Linked DNA regions of Ovis aries. The protein of the gene in region 1 interacts with the protein of each later gene in a biochemical or structural test. Links are inferred from orthologs where the notes say so. Each region holds a gene or a part of one and is shown in the gene's direction. Other genes may lie near its edges.

Region 1 (5,786 bases):
GAGCCCTGTCTGCTGAAGCGTCTGCCCAACCGGCACATCGGTGAGCGTGGTGCCATGGGAGGGGCCCAGGGGAGAAAGGTGGGGGAGCTGGGAAAGGACTACTGCCAGCCCCAGAGCTCCATTCATGCCTGACCTCCCCCGCAACAGGGATCTCCTTCACCCCCAAAGAAGTTGGGGAGCATGTGGTAAGCGTGCGCAAGAGCGGCAAGCATGTCACCAACAGCCCCTTCAAGATCCTGGTGGGACCGTCTGAGATTGGGGATGCTAGCAAGGTGCGGGTCTGGGGCAAGGGCCTGTCCGAAGGACACACGTTCCAGGTGGCGGAGTTCATCGTGGACACTCGGAATGCAGGTGCTTCTCGCCCCGGAGACCCCTCACTGCAGCTGGTGCCTCAAGTTGGGACCAGTCCTTTCCTTCCCAGCGCCCCGGACCATAACCTCCCCTCCGGAACTTCCTGGCCCAGTCTCTGCTGAGATTCCCATTCTGGGGCCCACCTGGGAAGAATAAATGTCCCCCTGTCACTTCTGTGTCTAAGAGAAAGCTCAGCCATCCTGAGTTTGTCTCTCCTTCGCTCACCAAAACCCAAGAGGCCTGCCTTAGAGAAATTTCCAGACTACCTATCCCTGACCCTTTGGGTCACTGCCTGGCTCACCCCTCCTTCTTCTACTGAGCTATCTTTCCTTAGTGGTTACGGTGCCCCTTGGGTGTCTGTTCTGGGCAGAGCCTGCGGTTTGGGGAGGGGAGAGCAGATGGCAGTGGGGACTGAGGGAGACGTGTCCCTTGCCTCCCACTAGGTTATGGGGGCCTGGGGCTGAGTATTGAAGGCCCTAGCAAGGTGGACATCAACTGTGAGGACATGGAGGATGGCACGTGCAAAGTTACCTACTGCCCCACCGAACCTGGCACCTATATCATCAACATCAAGTTCGCCGACAAGCACGTGCCTGGTAAGGCTCTGGGCTGTGGCCGGGACAGGCCAGGAGGCCGGAGATGAGTGACCTGAGGTGGCTGACCCGCTCTTTCTTGTCCCTACAGGAAGCCCCTTCACAGTGAAGGTCACTGGTGAGGGCCGCATGAAGGAAAGCATCACCCGGCGCAGGCAGGCGCCGTCCATCGCCACCATCGGCAGCACCTGTGACCTCAACCTCAAGATCCCAGGTGGGCACCGGAAGAGCCTGGTGGGGTGGGGCTGTGGGGAGGGCCCAGAGCCTGTCCCCGGGGCCTCTGTCCTTCTGGCTAACTTCTCACCTCCCTCCCCTCCGCCGGCTCTACCTGTCCCACAGGGAACTGGTTCCAGATGGTGTCCGCCCAGGAGCGCCTGACACGCACCTTCACCCGCAGCAGCCACACATACACCCGCACAGAGCGCACAGAGATCAGCAAGACGCGGGGCGGGGAGACCAAGCGCGAGGTGCGGGTGGAGGAGTCCACCCAGGTTGGCGGAGACCCCTTCCCCGCCGTCTTCGGGGACTTCCTGGGCCGGGAGCGCCTGGGCTCTTTTGGCAGCATCACCCGGCAGCAGGAGGGTGAGCAGCACCAGCTGGGCTCTTCACAGGGAGGTGGGCCTTCTGTCCCTTGGGACAGCATGGGGAGGCTGCTGGTCTGAGCAGAGGAGGGGGTGTTTACTGAGGGAGGGAGGGAGGGAAGGGCGAGGGCCTGGGGCAGCCCCGGTGTCGCCCTGACACTCCCCACCCCCTGCAGGTGAGGCCAGCTCTCAGGACATGACTGCACAGGTGACCAGCCCGTCGGGCAAGACAGAAGCCGCCGAGATCGTGGAGGGGGAGGACAGCGCGTACAGCGTCCGCTTTGTGCCCCAGGAGATGGGGCCCCACACAGTCACTGTCAAGTACCGCGGCCAGCATGTGCCAGGCAGCCCCTTTCAGTTCACCGTGGGGCCGCTGGGTGAAGGCGGTGCCCACAAGGTGCGGGCTGGAGGCACAGGGCTGGAGCGAGGGGTGGCTGGCGTGCCAGGTAAGGGGGCGGGTGCCCGGGACGAGGGATGGGGGCAGGACAGCCAGCAGGATGGGCGACAGTGCTAAGAGTTGCCCCGTCCCATTTCTGTCTCCAGCTGAGTTCAGCATCTGGACCCGAGAAGCAGGTGCCGGGGGCCTATCAATTGCTGTGGAGGGTCCCAGCAAGGCGGAAATTGCATTTGAGGATCGCAAGGATGGCTCATGTGGGGTCTCCTATGTCGTCCAGGAGCCAGGTGGGCATCTTGCTGGGCCTGCCTGACTTTCCAGACCAGGCTTCTGCTCAGCCCGGCAGGAGATGGGGCTCCCAAACCAACCCCTCACCTGGGCCACTGCAGTTTCTCTGCCCATTTCCCTCCACCCTACACCCCCAGGAACACGTGTCTCCAGAGCTGAGCTCGACCTAGGAGCTTGTCCGGGCCTGAGATCAGGGTGGGGTCGTTTCCCCTGCTGCTGCCCCCCGTCCTGGAGCTTGCGCTGACTGGTCTTCTCTCCCCAGGTGACTACGAGGTCTCCATCAAGTTCAACGACGAGCACATCCCAGACAGCCCTTTCGTGGTACCCGTGGCCTCCCTCTCAGATGATGCTCGCCGTCTCACTGTCACCAGCCTCCAGGTGTGTGCCCGGGGTGGAGGGGGGGATGAGGCCCTCCTGCCACCCTGAGAGATGGGCAGGAGTAGAGGATGGCAGCTCCATGTGACCAGGGACTTAGCAGTGACCTTGGAAGGTCCAGACAGATGGCCCCTCTCTCCCAGTGTTTGGACAACAGGGGGCTCTAGCTATACTAGCTGCCCCTTGGGGTAGTCTTGGAAGCCTCAGGTGCCACTGTGTCCCTCCTCCCCCTTCCCCATCCTAGAACTGGCCTCATCTTCACGACCTACCCGCCCTCAAGCCGCCCAATCAGCCCCACCTTCTCCATCAAGTGCCCCCAGGGCAGTCCAGCCCACATGTCTCTTTCCCATCCCAGCTACTGAGTTCTCGCAGTCCACACAATGCTGTCCCAGCACTGGGTTCTCTATCAGGCCGGCTTTATAGTATCCAGGTCTTACCTCCCCAGCCAGGACAGGGCACATCATCTCTGGTCCCCAACCATGCCGGGCACAGCCAGGTGGCCCCACCCCATAGCAGGTGGTTGCCAAGGCCAAAGACCCAGCCTCTGCCTCCCATCGCAGCCTTGTTCAGAGCCTCCCTGAGCTGGGCCAGGCAGCAGGGGGCAGCTGGGGGTGGGAGGAGGGAGCCTCCAGGCTGGGCAGGAAGGGATATCAGTGCTAGGCTGCAGACATGAGCCCTCCAGGCCCTCCCAGAAGTCTGAGCACCCTCTGTGGTGTCTGCAGGAGACCGGGCTCAAGGTGAACCAGCCGGCGTCCTTTGCGGTGCAGCTGAATGGCGCACGGGGCGTGATCGATGCTAGGGTACACACGCCCTCAGGTGCAGTGGAGGAGTGCTACGTCTCCGAGCTGGACAGTGGTGAGCTGGCCTGTCCCTGCCAGGCTAGGACCTTCTGGAAAGGGGAGGGAAAAGACTAAGGCTCACTGACCAACCTCTGTCCCCACAGACAAGCACACCATCCGTTTCATCCCCCATGAGAATGGCGTCCACTCCATCGACGTCAAGTTCAATGGTGCCCATATCCCTGGCAGTCCCTTCAAGATCCGAGTTGGGGAGCAGAGCCAGGCTGGGGACCCAGGCTTGGTGTCGGCCTATGGTCCTGGGCTCGAGGGAGGCACTACAGGTGAGTGCCTGGGGCTGGGGAGAGGGGTGGACAGTGCTGATGAGCCCCAAGTCCTGGCAGAGGTCTGCTCCGGGGAGCCTGGGCCCATCCCAGCTTTGGGCCCCAAGCCCTTCTTGCCTACATCCTTGCTACCTCTGGTCCCCAGGTGTGTCGTCAGAGTTCATCGTCAACACCCTGAATGCAGGCTCAGGGGCCTTGTCTGTCACCATTGACGGCCCATCCAAGGTGCAGCTGGACTGTCGGGAGTGTCCTGAGGGTCACGTGGTCACTTACACGCCCATGGCTCCTGGCAACTACCTCATTGCCATCAAGTATGGTGGCCCCCAGCACATCGTGGGCAGCCCCTTCAAGGCGAAAGTCACAGGTGAGCGTCCTGGGTGGGGTGAGGTCTCACCCTGGGCTGGAAGCCTATCCTGGGCTGGCTCCAGTGGCTATTCACATCCAGGGCAGAGTTGGCCCCAAATATCAGTGTTTCAGGTTACCAGGAATAAAGTGGGGCTGGCTTTACACAATGTGCCATTCTCCACCTTCTATGTGTGGACTTGTGTACATCATTTTAAAAAAATCAAATCCCTCTCTACTGTCCATCCCTTGACTAATCTTTTCCCTGCGGTGGCTCCCCAAGTTTTCACTGAACTCTGCCCTCCTGGCATCCCCGTTTCTGGCTTCCAGGAATACAGAGCTCAGCAGACATTTACCTGATTTTCCTTCTGGAAGCTGTGTGAAGGATTGGTTGGATACTTGTTCCTTTTTAAAGCAGGGCTCTACTTACTGTGTGACTTGGGGTCCCAGACAAAGCCAGAGGGTTGGAGGTGGGTGGACAGAGCCATGGAGGCCCCAGACCTGGTGATGAGCCTGCCCAAGAGCTCTGTGTGAAATGGGCCGCTGCTCCCAGGATGCTGGAGCTGAGGAAGGGGGCCGGGGCTGTCAGGACCGCCACCCGGGGCCTACCGCCTCGGGGAGAGCAGGCCTCTGACCCGGCTCGTGGCCACCCCACCCTGCCCCTCAGGTCCCCGGCTCTCTGGAGGCCACAGCCTTCATGAAACATCCACGGTTCTGGTGGAGACTGTGACCAAGTCGTCCTCAAGCCGGGGTTCCAGCTACAGCTCCATCCCCAAGTTCTCCTCAGATGCCAGCAAGGTGGTGACGCGGGGCCCCGGGCTGTCCCAGGCCTTTGTGGGCCAGAAGAACTCCTTCACCGTGGACTGCAGCAAAGCAGGCAGGCAGCGGGCGGAGCGGGAGAGAGGGGGTGGTCTCCCGGGGTGGGCAAGTGTGCGCGAACATGGGGCCAAGGGCTGGGGGTGAGCCTGTCCCTCGCCGCCTCTCTCTCCAGGCACCAATATGATGATGGTGGGCGTGCACGGGCCCAAGACCCCCTGCGAGGAGGTGTACGTGAAGCACATGGGGAACCGGGTGTACAACGTCACCTACACCGTCAAGGAGAAAGGGGACTACATCCTCATCGTCAAGTGGGGCGACGAGAGTGTCCCCGGAAGCCCCTTCAAAGTCAATGTGCCCTGAATCCCAGAAGTGCCTCCCCCAGCCTCGGCCCCCACCTCTGGCCAAACACACTCACAGACACACAGACACACACCCACACAGACACACACACAAATGGGCCACACCCAGATGCACGCTCGCAGAATCAGACACCACAAACACCTGCCCTGGGGTGTGGACGGAGTGGCACTGGCCCCTCGCCGCCAGGCCCTCTGGCTGGAGGGCCTTGTCTGTTTCAGGGCAGTGTCCCTTGCCTCAAATGTGACCTGAGGGTGAACTGGGGGTTGGGGGGCCAGGGAAGCCCTGTGTTTTCTGGTGGGGCTGAGGCCAGTGGAGGAGCACGTGTTTGGGGGTGTCTGCATGTGTGAGAGAGGTCACCCTGAAATCGCACTGCCAGCCAGGCCTCCTAGCCACTGAGGACTGCATCCAGCCCCTCTGGTGGCCACAACCCCAGAGCGTTACGACTTGGAAAACGAAGCACAGTCAGAAGAGAAAGTGTACCTAGCGGCAGCTGCGCACATGTCCTGGCCCTGGGCGACTGAGACCCCAGCCAGGCTTTCTGGGGGACTGATTTCTCTCTCTCT
Region 2 (7,366 bases), on another chromosome or scaffold:
TCCAGGGGAATGAGGAGGGTGGATGAATACCCCAGCTCCCTTACCACCACCCCCCGACCCCGGGTGAGGCGTGTTCCACACCAGCTCCCGAAGTCTCCAGAGGGATCCAGCCCCAGCGGTCCACAGAAGTAATCTGCTTTCCTTCTCCTCCTCACTTTTAGCCCCTCACCCCCTTCCTCCCCTCCCAGTGAAACCACTTGCACCCAAATGCTCTTCTTGGACTCTGCTCTTGGAAGATCCCAAACTAACACACTAGAATATAGAAAGCAGGCAGACTCTCAGAGGTCATAGAAATAGGAAGACAGGCTGGTGAGAGTGGTCTGGCACCAGGGCCCACACGACCCTCACGGCACGGCCACCAGACTCCCACGGCAGGAGGCGGACACTCTCCCCTCAAATCTGCCCACCTTTGAGCTGCCCCCTGAGCAGCGCAGAAAGTCCCTTCTGCAGGTTCAGAGGATTTTGTCAAGAGGCTGAGCTGACCTGTCCTACAGCCCTGGAACAGACACGCCCTGGCCAGCCCAGAGCAGACACCCGTGTCTGCTTCCCAGCTGGAGGGAGGCCAGGACTACCAGCCAGGGCTTTGAAGGACACTTGCCATCAGACCCAGAGGATACACTGGGATCTGGGACCAGGGAAAGTTGCCGGTGGTGGGGACCCAGGGGAGAATGTATTGAGCTTAATCATCAGTTGAGTTTACATATGCTGGGCACTGTACCCGATGTGGTGTGTGTGTGTAACAGATGTGTGCTCCTCACAGCAGCCTTTTGAGGTATACACTGTTATTATGCCCATTTTATAGGTGAGGGAACTGGCGAACAGACAGGGTGAGTAACTTGCCAACGTCACACAGCTAGTAAGTGTCACAGACAGGATTCAAACTCAGGTAGGCAGCCTGGCTCTGAACCTTCCCTGCGTCCTGCCTCATTCAAACTCAGGTAGGCAGCCTGGCTCTGAACCTTCCCTGGTTCCTGCCTCTCCTGAAACATCAGGTGAGTCTACTGCCAGCTGCTCACTGAGCCCTGCCAGAGTACCTGTTTTCCTGGGAGACAGGCAGGGGCTTCTGACTAATCCCCAACTTCAGCAGAGCCCCACTGAAGAGGGATGGACTGACAGAGGAATGTGCCCTCAAGACCAGGAAACACTAAGCTCCAGAAGCAGTGGGGGTGGGGGGCAGGTTGTAATCACTGAAAAATCCCTCTCCGCCTTCCCTCTCCATTCCCTCCCTGCCCTTCTGCCTTCTGAGAGATCAATTAACCAGCACAGCCATTTGACCTCAGGATAACCATTTACTCCCAGCCCCCTTCCCAAAATGATTTGAGGTGGCTTTTAAAAAGATAACTGCCCAGCATCCCCACCACCAAAGATACTCTGATGAATAATGCCTGACCACTGCCTTAATGGCCATATCACTGACACCTTGATGATGTGATTTTGTTAGATCATTACACATAGGGTGACCAGCTCAGCCTGTTTTTCTTTGAACTTTCCCAGTTTTAAAATTGAAAGTCCCTTGTTCTGCGAAACCCCTCAGAGACAGGCAACAGGGCCAGTTGTTTACCCCCATGACACAGGATACAACCCACAGCGTCTACCTGCTGAAAGTCTAAACATTTAGCTCAGAGTGTCCTTGGAGCCAAGGCAAAGAAGGAAACACCACCCTCAATGAGAGTTTCAGTGTCTGTGATAGTGCTATCACACTTCCACAGTGATGGAAACATTTTGTACTCTGCTCCATGGAGCACTTAAAATGTGGCTAAAGGGATGCAGGAACACAATTTTTCATTTTGTTTCATTTTAACCTGTTTAAATAGTCTCATGGGGTTAGTGGAAGTTGTCTTGGACAGTACAATTGTATTAGATAAAAACAAACCAGGCATGGGAAATTTCTACCATGAGTTTATCATATTTGCAGTGAGTACAAAAGAGGATTCCAACCAGGTACGTTCCTTTTCTTACGTATGTAATAACCTGTGCATCAGGCCCTTGGATAACCCAGGCCATGTGCTGAGCACTCTCACAAAACCCTCTAATATGTGAATTCATTCAAGTCTCAAAACCACCCCAGAGGGCAGGCACTAAGGCTCCTCTTCCCTTGGCCCGAGAGGATGGGTATCTTCCTGCCCTTCCCAGGGAGAGACAGGATCCGGGAAATAGGTGCTAGGGCAGCAAAGGGCAAAAAGGCCGGAATCAGAGGAGGCCAGGGAGGAGGGCTCCCCGTTGCCCCTCTTCTCACCCCAGGCCAATGCTGCCTGCCTGACACTGACTCAACGGAAAGAGTGAGCAGTGCCTGGCATCACTTCCTGGCACCAGAGGGCCCCCAGGATGTCAGAAGACCTTGTTCTGCCAGGTAGCAGAACACAACTTCGACATGGAACCAGGCAAAATGCCTCCGTCGCTTGTGCTCTGCATGGTCTCCCGATGCCCCTCGCCACACTGCCCTTCCCGGCCTAAATGCCAGGATCTCTGGAGCTACTAAGCCCCTCGGGCTCTGGGTAGCCAAGGAGGGGCAGCCGTGACCCCCACACACAAACACACACACATACTCCTTCTGTGACTGGAAGCTGATGACTCCGGGTCAGAAATAACCCCAGAGTCAGCTCCCCGTGTGCTGCCCCTCCCCTCCTCTCTGTTCCCAGAAAGCCTGGGCCCTGAGTCAGAGGCCAGAGCCTGAGAGTAAACAACAACCCAGATAATCTGCTGGGAACACCGCAGACCATGCTGCGGAGCCCTCTGCCAGACCTGGACCCCGTGGAGAACTGGGGCCAGAGGTCTTTCCCCCAAATTCAGCTGTGTGCACTCAGGGCTGTATACACCTGTGCGGTGGGACGCAGGGAGGGATGGAAGAGACAGCGGAAAGGTCTAGTGCAGGAGTGGGGAGAAGAAGGGCCTTACTCTCAGGGGTATCCGGGCTGAGAACTGAGGAGCAAGGGCCTAGGCCTGCCCTCAGGGGGCCTCCAGTCTCCTGGCAGGGTGGGACATAGTCACGCCACACGTCAGACATAGTCAGAGGCTGGGGTAGGGACGTGGGGGATCACAAGGTGGGGGGCCAAGCTGACCAGGTGTCAGATGCGCCTCCTTATTCATTCCCTCAGAATAGTCTGGGATGTCCGCACCCCACACCACAGCTGAGTCACTGACCCCAATCCTCAGAGGAGACTTGGATGAATGAAGCTCTCCCCCGCTCACTCCTCTTCCCCTCCCTAGCAGAAAGGACATGTAACTGATGCCCGAGATGGAGAATAACTTCCAGAGCCCTAAAAATAACTGAACCACTTCATACTCTGACCTTCGCCTCCCCCCACCCCCCCACCTCGGCCCACCCCCTAACCAGCCAGATAAAGGCAGCTGCTGAGCCTGGCAGGGGACACAGACCCCGAGCCAGGGCAGCGAGAAGGTGTCCGACGGGGCCAGCAGAGCGAGAGCAGCCCAAACCAGAGGCACGACAGAGCCGTGGGCCACACCTGCCGAAGACCCCAAACCCCAGCAGCCAGGCAGAGCCCGCAGGTGAGTGAGCCGTTCCTTTCCTCGCCACACCAGCGGGGCTGGCTTTCCAGGCCGGGACCCCCTCCGGCCCCTCTCAGGGCAGTGCGTATTAGTGAAAGTTCTGAGTGAGGGGAGGAAGGTGGGGCCACACGTCTGGAGCAGGTGAGTGGAGGGGTCTGATATGAAGATTCCACAAGGAAGTTGCCAGACAATTATTGTGAGCCCCATGGTAGCGTTCGGCCTGGCTGGCACAGGCCTGAGGCCTACAGAGGGGCAGGTTCCAGCCAGTCTGGCGTAATCCAGAAAGGCTTGCTGGAGGAGGTGGTCTGGGGTTGTGATTTTTAAAATCAGGTACGGAGCTCCTCAGGCTTCAGGCTTTCTTTCCAAGGAGCCCCAGCTAGGCCCAGTGTCTGGACAGAAGAGGCGGGGGAGGACACGGGGGTCTGACTGTGCTGCCAGGACAAGCCCTGTGCCCAGCTGCTGTGGGTAGAAGTCTTGACATAGCTGGCTCGGGAATGTCTCCCCAGGGCTGGCCTGAGCCCAGCACCCCGCATGGCCTAGGGCCTGGGTGTGATGTGGGCCATCAGCGTGCCCAGTAGGACAGCCTTAAGGAAGACCTGGGGGTAAAGGTGGGTGGCCAGGTCTGAGCGCTAGAGTATACTGCCCAAGTATAGAGATGCGTGAAGGGGTCTGGGCCAGGAAAGAGCAGACTTGGAGGCAAAAGCGGGGGTCACCCGGAGAGGCTGGCCCAGGCCTGGGAGGCCAAGCTCAGGGGCACCCCTGGGGTTCAGGCCTTACCCAAAGCCTGGTATCAGTTCTGGATTCGGCCTTCACCGCACCTGGTCCCCATCCTTGAGAAACGAGGTGGGGAGGCCTTGCTACCGCCTGGTGGAGCTGCCGGGGTCAGCTCCTTCCCCTCTTGGGGCCGGTTTCCCCTTCCAAACAATGAGGGGATTGGGCCCAGTGACCTCGGCAGGTCCTCAGCTCTGCCCTCTCTGGACTCTGATTCGATCATAAGTGACCACAGCAGGGATTCTGGAGATTCCTGGGGGAGGCGGTGGAGGCAGGGTGGAGCTGGTGGCCCGTACCTGCCATCTGCTCAGGCCACACTGGTGACGGCAGGGAGGACGTGGGGACCATCAAGGTTTGCCTTTGGTCGGGGGGTCCTCATGAGAACCCAGGCTAAAGGAAGCACCTAGAGTGCGTGATGAGACTTGGACTGTCGACTTTAGAGGTCATACTCCTTGGATGTCTTCAGAGGACAGGCTGGGGTGTGGGTGGAGCAAGCAGGGCTTAGTCTCCCCCTGCTGAGGTAGTCGAGAGAAGGAAGTCCCTCCCCCACCCCCAGGTTCCTGTGGCCAGAAGCACTGGTCATCCTGCAGCCAGAGGCCAAACACCAGCTCAGCAGGCAGGATCAGGGAGCCCAGGGCAGAGAAGGAACCAAGGGGGGTCAGGCTCCCAGGGTCCCACTGGCTGAGCCGGACCTCTCCCCAGCCCAGGGCCGCTGTGTGGAGGCCAGCACCTCGGCTATATTTAGCACTGAGCGTGGAGCAGAGCTGTGGGTCAGGGGCAGTGAGGGGGGGACGTGCTTCTCATTCTTTCCCTACTGGCCTCTGGGGACTGTTAGCACACCTGTCACAAGACAGATAAGACAGCGAGGACAGAGGCCAGAGAAGGTGGGCCAGGGGCGTGGGGGCAGTGCCTTGGCGGAAGCTGATGGGCACGAAGAGGGAGAAAGAAGGCGTGCACAGGAGACTCGTGCTGCACACAGTTGGGGACGGGGGTCCGTGAGCAAGGGGTGAGGCTATCGCTGCAGGAAGGCCCTCAAGTCTCACTGCCTCCCCTCCTGGGGTGTCTGCTGGGAACAGAGGGCCACCACAGCCACTGAGAAAGCGTCACACTTCCTACCTAAAGTGTTTCGAAACCCCGATCCAGCACTGCTTGCGCCTCATTCACCAAGATCTGACTCTGGACCCTGGTTTCCTCATCTTTAATCAAGAGTGGTTGGGCCAGAAGCTTCTAGAGGTCCCCCTAGCTCAGAAAACCCCTAGCTAGGATTCAGAATTGGGTTCTGCCTAACTGCGAGACAACTGGTGGACACTCACTCAGCCTTACTGCTTCTGCTGCAGCAAGAGCTGCCGGCCCCTGCTTGGCCTCCCTGGCCTGAGAAAGGAGAGCCAAGAGCTAAAGGCGGGACAGCCCCCCAGTGAAAGGGACAAGTGCGCCCTCTGGTGGTGAGAAAGGAAACGTGACTGATAACTAGTTCTCTCCATGAGAGTCACCAGTTTGTGTGCTCACTTAGTCATGTCCCTGTCCAAACCTTTGTGACTCCATGGACTGCAGCCCGCCAGGCTCCGCTGTCCATGGGATTCTCCAGGCAAGAATACTGGAGACCAAGCCCTCCTCCAGGGGATCTTCCCACCCCAGGGATCAAACCTAGACCTCCCTCATTGCAAGTAGATTCTTTACCGTCTGAGCCACCAGGGAAGCCCAGTCACCAGTGTAGGGACCTGCTTCTCCCTGGCTGGGATCCCTTAAAAATCAGAATTCCCCCAGGCCACTCACCTGGGAGTCTACCAGGGAAAAACTGATTTTGGCAAAAGCAAGCAAGGATGGGACAGGACAGGAACAGTTTTCCCACTGTGGGGTTGGGCACCCGTTAACTGGAAGACAGAGTTTCAAAGCCTGTAGTGCCCTGCTGGCGCCGTGACAACCCAGGTGATTCTGGGGGAGCAGGGACCCACCTGATGGATGGCTCTATATGCCTTAAGTTCAAGACTAGTCACACAGCAACCATTCAGGTAGCAGGGTGAGACCCCGGGGAGGTCTGGAAAGGGGGAGGGGTGGTCTCTAAGCACACGCCACCTAGGGCTACTCTGCAACCAACCCCCATCTCACTGAAATCCCCCAACCCCATCCTCATCTCTGCCCCCTCTCTTCAGAAGGATGGCCAGTGCCCAGATGCAGGTGGCCCCCACCCCAACCATCCCGATGGCAGCTACAGAGGACCTGCCCCCCCCTCCACCACCTGCCCTGGAGGACCTACCGCCGCCGCCACCCAAGGAGTCCTTCTCCAAGTTCCACCAGCAGCGGCAAGCCAGCGAGCTCCGCCGCCTCTACAAGCACATCCACCCCGAGCTCCGCAAGAATCTGGCTGAGGCCGTGGCCGAAGACTTGGCTGAGGTCCTGGGTTCCGAGGAGCCCACCGAGGGCGATGTCCAGTGCATGCGCTGGATCTTTGAGAACTGGCGGCTGGATGCCATTGGGGACCATGAGAAGCCACCTGCCAAGGAGTCCGTGCCCGGTGGCAACGTCCAGGCCACCTCCCGCAAGTTTGAGGAAGGCTCCTTTACTAACAGCGTAAACCAGGAGCCGGCCGGACCTCGGCCATCCGGAGGGGACGTGCGTGCAGCCCGCCAGCTGTTTGAGACGAAGCCGCTGGATGCGCTGACGGTTCGTGCTGAAGCACCAGAGGCTACAGTGAGGGAGCCTGCAGCCAGCGGAGACGTCCAGGGTACCAGGATGCTATTTGAGACACGGCCACTGGACCGCCTTGGCTCCCGCCCCTCCACCCAGGAGCAGAGCCCCTTGGAGCTGCGCTCAGAGATCCAGGAGCTGAAAGGCGATGTGAAGAAGACGGTGAAGCTGTTCCAAACAGAGCCGCTGTGTGCCATCCAGGACTCAGAGGGCGCCATCCACGAGGTCAAGGCCGCCTACCGGGAGGAGATCCAAAGCAATGCAGTGAGGTCTGGCCGTTGGCTCTTCGAGACCAAGCCTCTGGATGCCATCAACCGGGACCCCAGCCAGGTGCGGGTGATCCGCGGGATCTCCCTGGAGGAGGCGGCCCGGCCCGATGTCAGCGCGACTCGCTGGATCTTTG

What was found.
Region 2: the proteins of FLNC (region 1) and XIRP1 form a complex in vitro, tested with the Homo sapiens proteins (2 studies listed by BioGRID and IntAct, with this or other methods). The link is inferred for Ovis aries from reciprocal best matches to the Homo sapiens genes FLNC and XIRP1.

The regions. Positions count from the first base shown.
Region 1 is NC_056057.1:94,517,924-94,523,709, forward strand, and holds part of FLNC (filamin-C), read left to right. Parts: coding exon 1-40; intron 41-147; coding exon 148-351; intron 352-794; coding exon 795-947; intron 948-1,035; coding exon 1,036-1,158; intron 1,159-1,283; coding exon 1,284-1,526; intron 1,527-1,701; coding exon 1,702-1,971; intron 1,972-2,068; coding exon 2,069-2,206; intron 2,207-2,469; coding exon 2,470-2,585; intron 2,586-3,304; coding exon 3,305-3,437; intron 3,438-3,525; coding exon 3,526-3,702; intron 3,703-3,847; coding exon 3,848-4,066; intron 4,067-4,711; coding exon 4,712-4,921; intron 4,922-5,035; coding exon 5,036-5,223; 3' UTR 5,224-5,786.
Region 2 is NC_056072.1:12,510,048-12,517,413, reverse strand, and holds the start of XIRP1 (xin actin-binding repeat-containing protein 1), read left to right. Parts: upstream 1-3,367; 5' UTR 3,368-3,507; intron 3,508-6,428; 5' UTR 6,429-6,432; coding exon 6,433-7,366. UniProt on the Homo sapiens protein: Protects actin filaments from depolymerization. Required for correct cardiac intercalated disk ultrastructure via maintenance of cell-cell adhesion stability, and as a result maintains cardiac organ morphology, conductance and heart beat rhythm.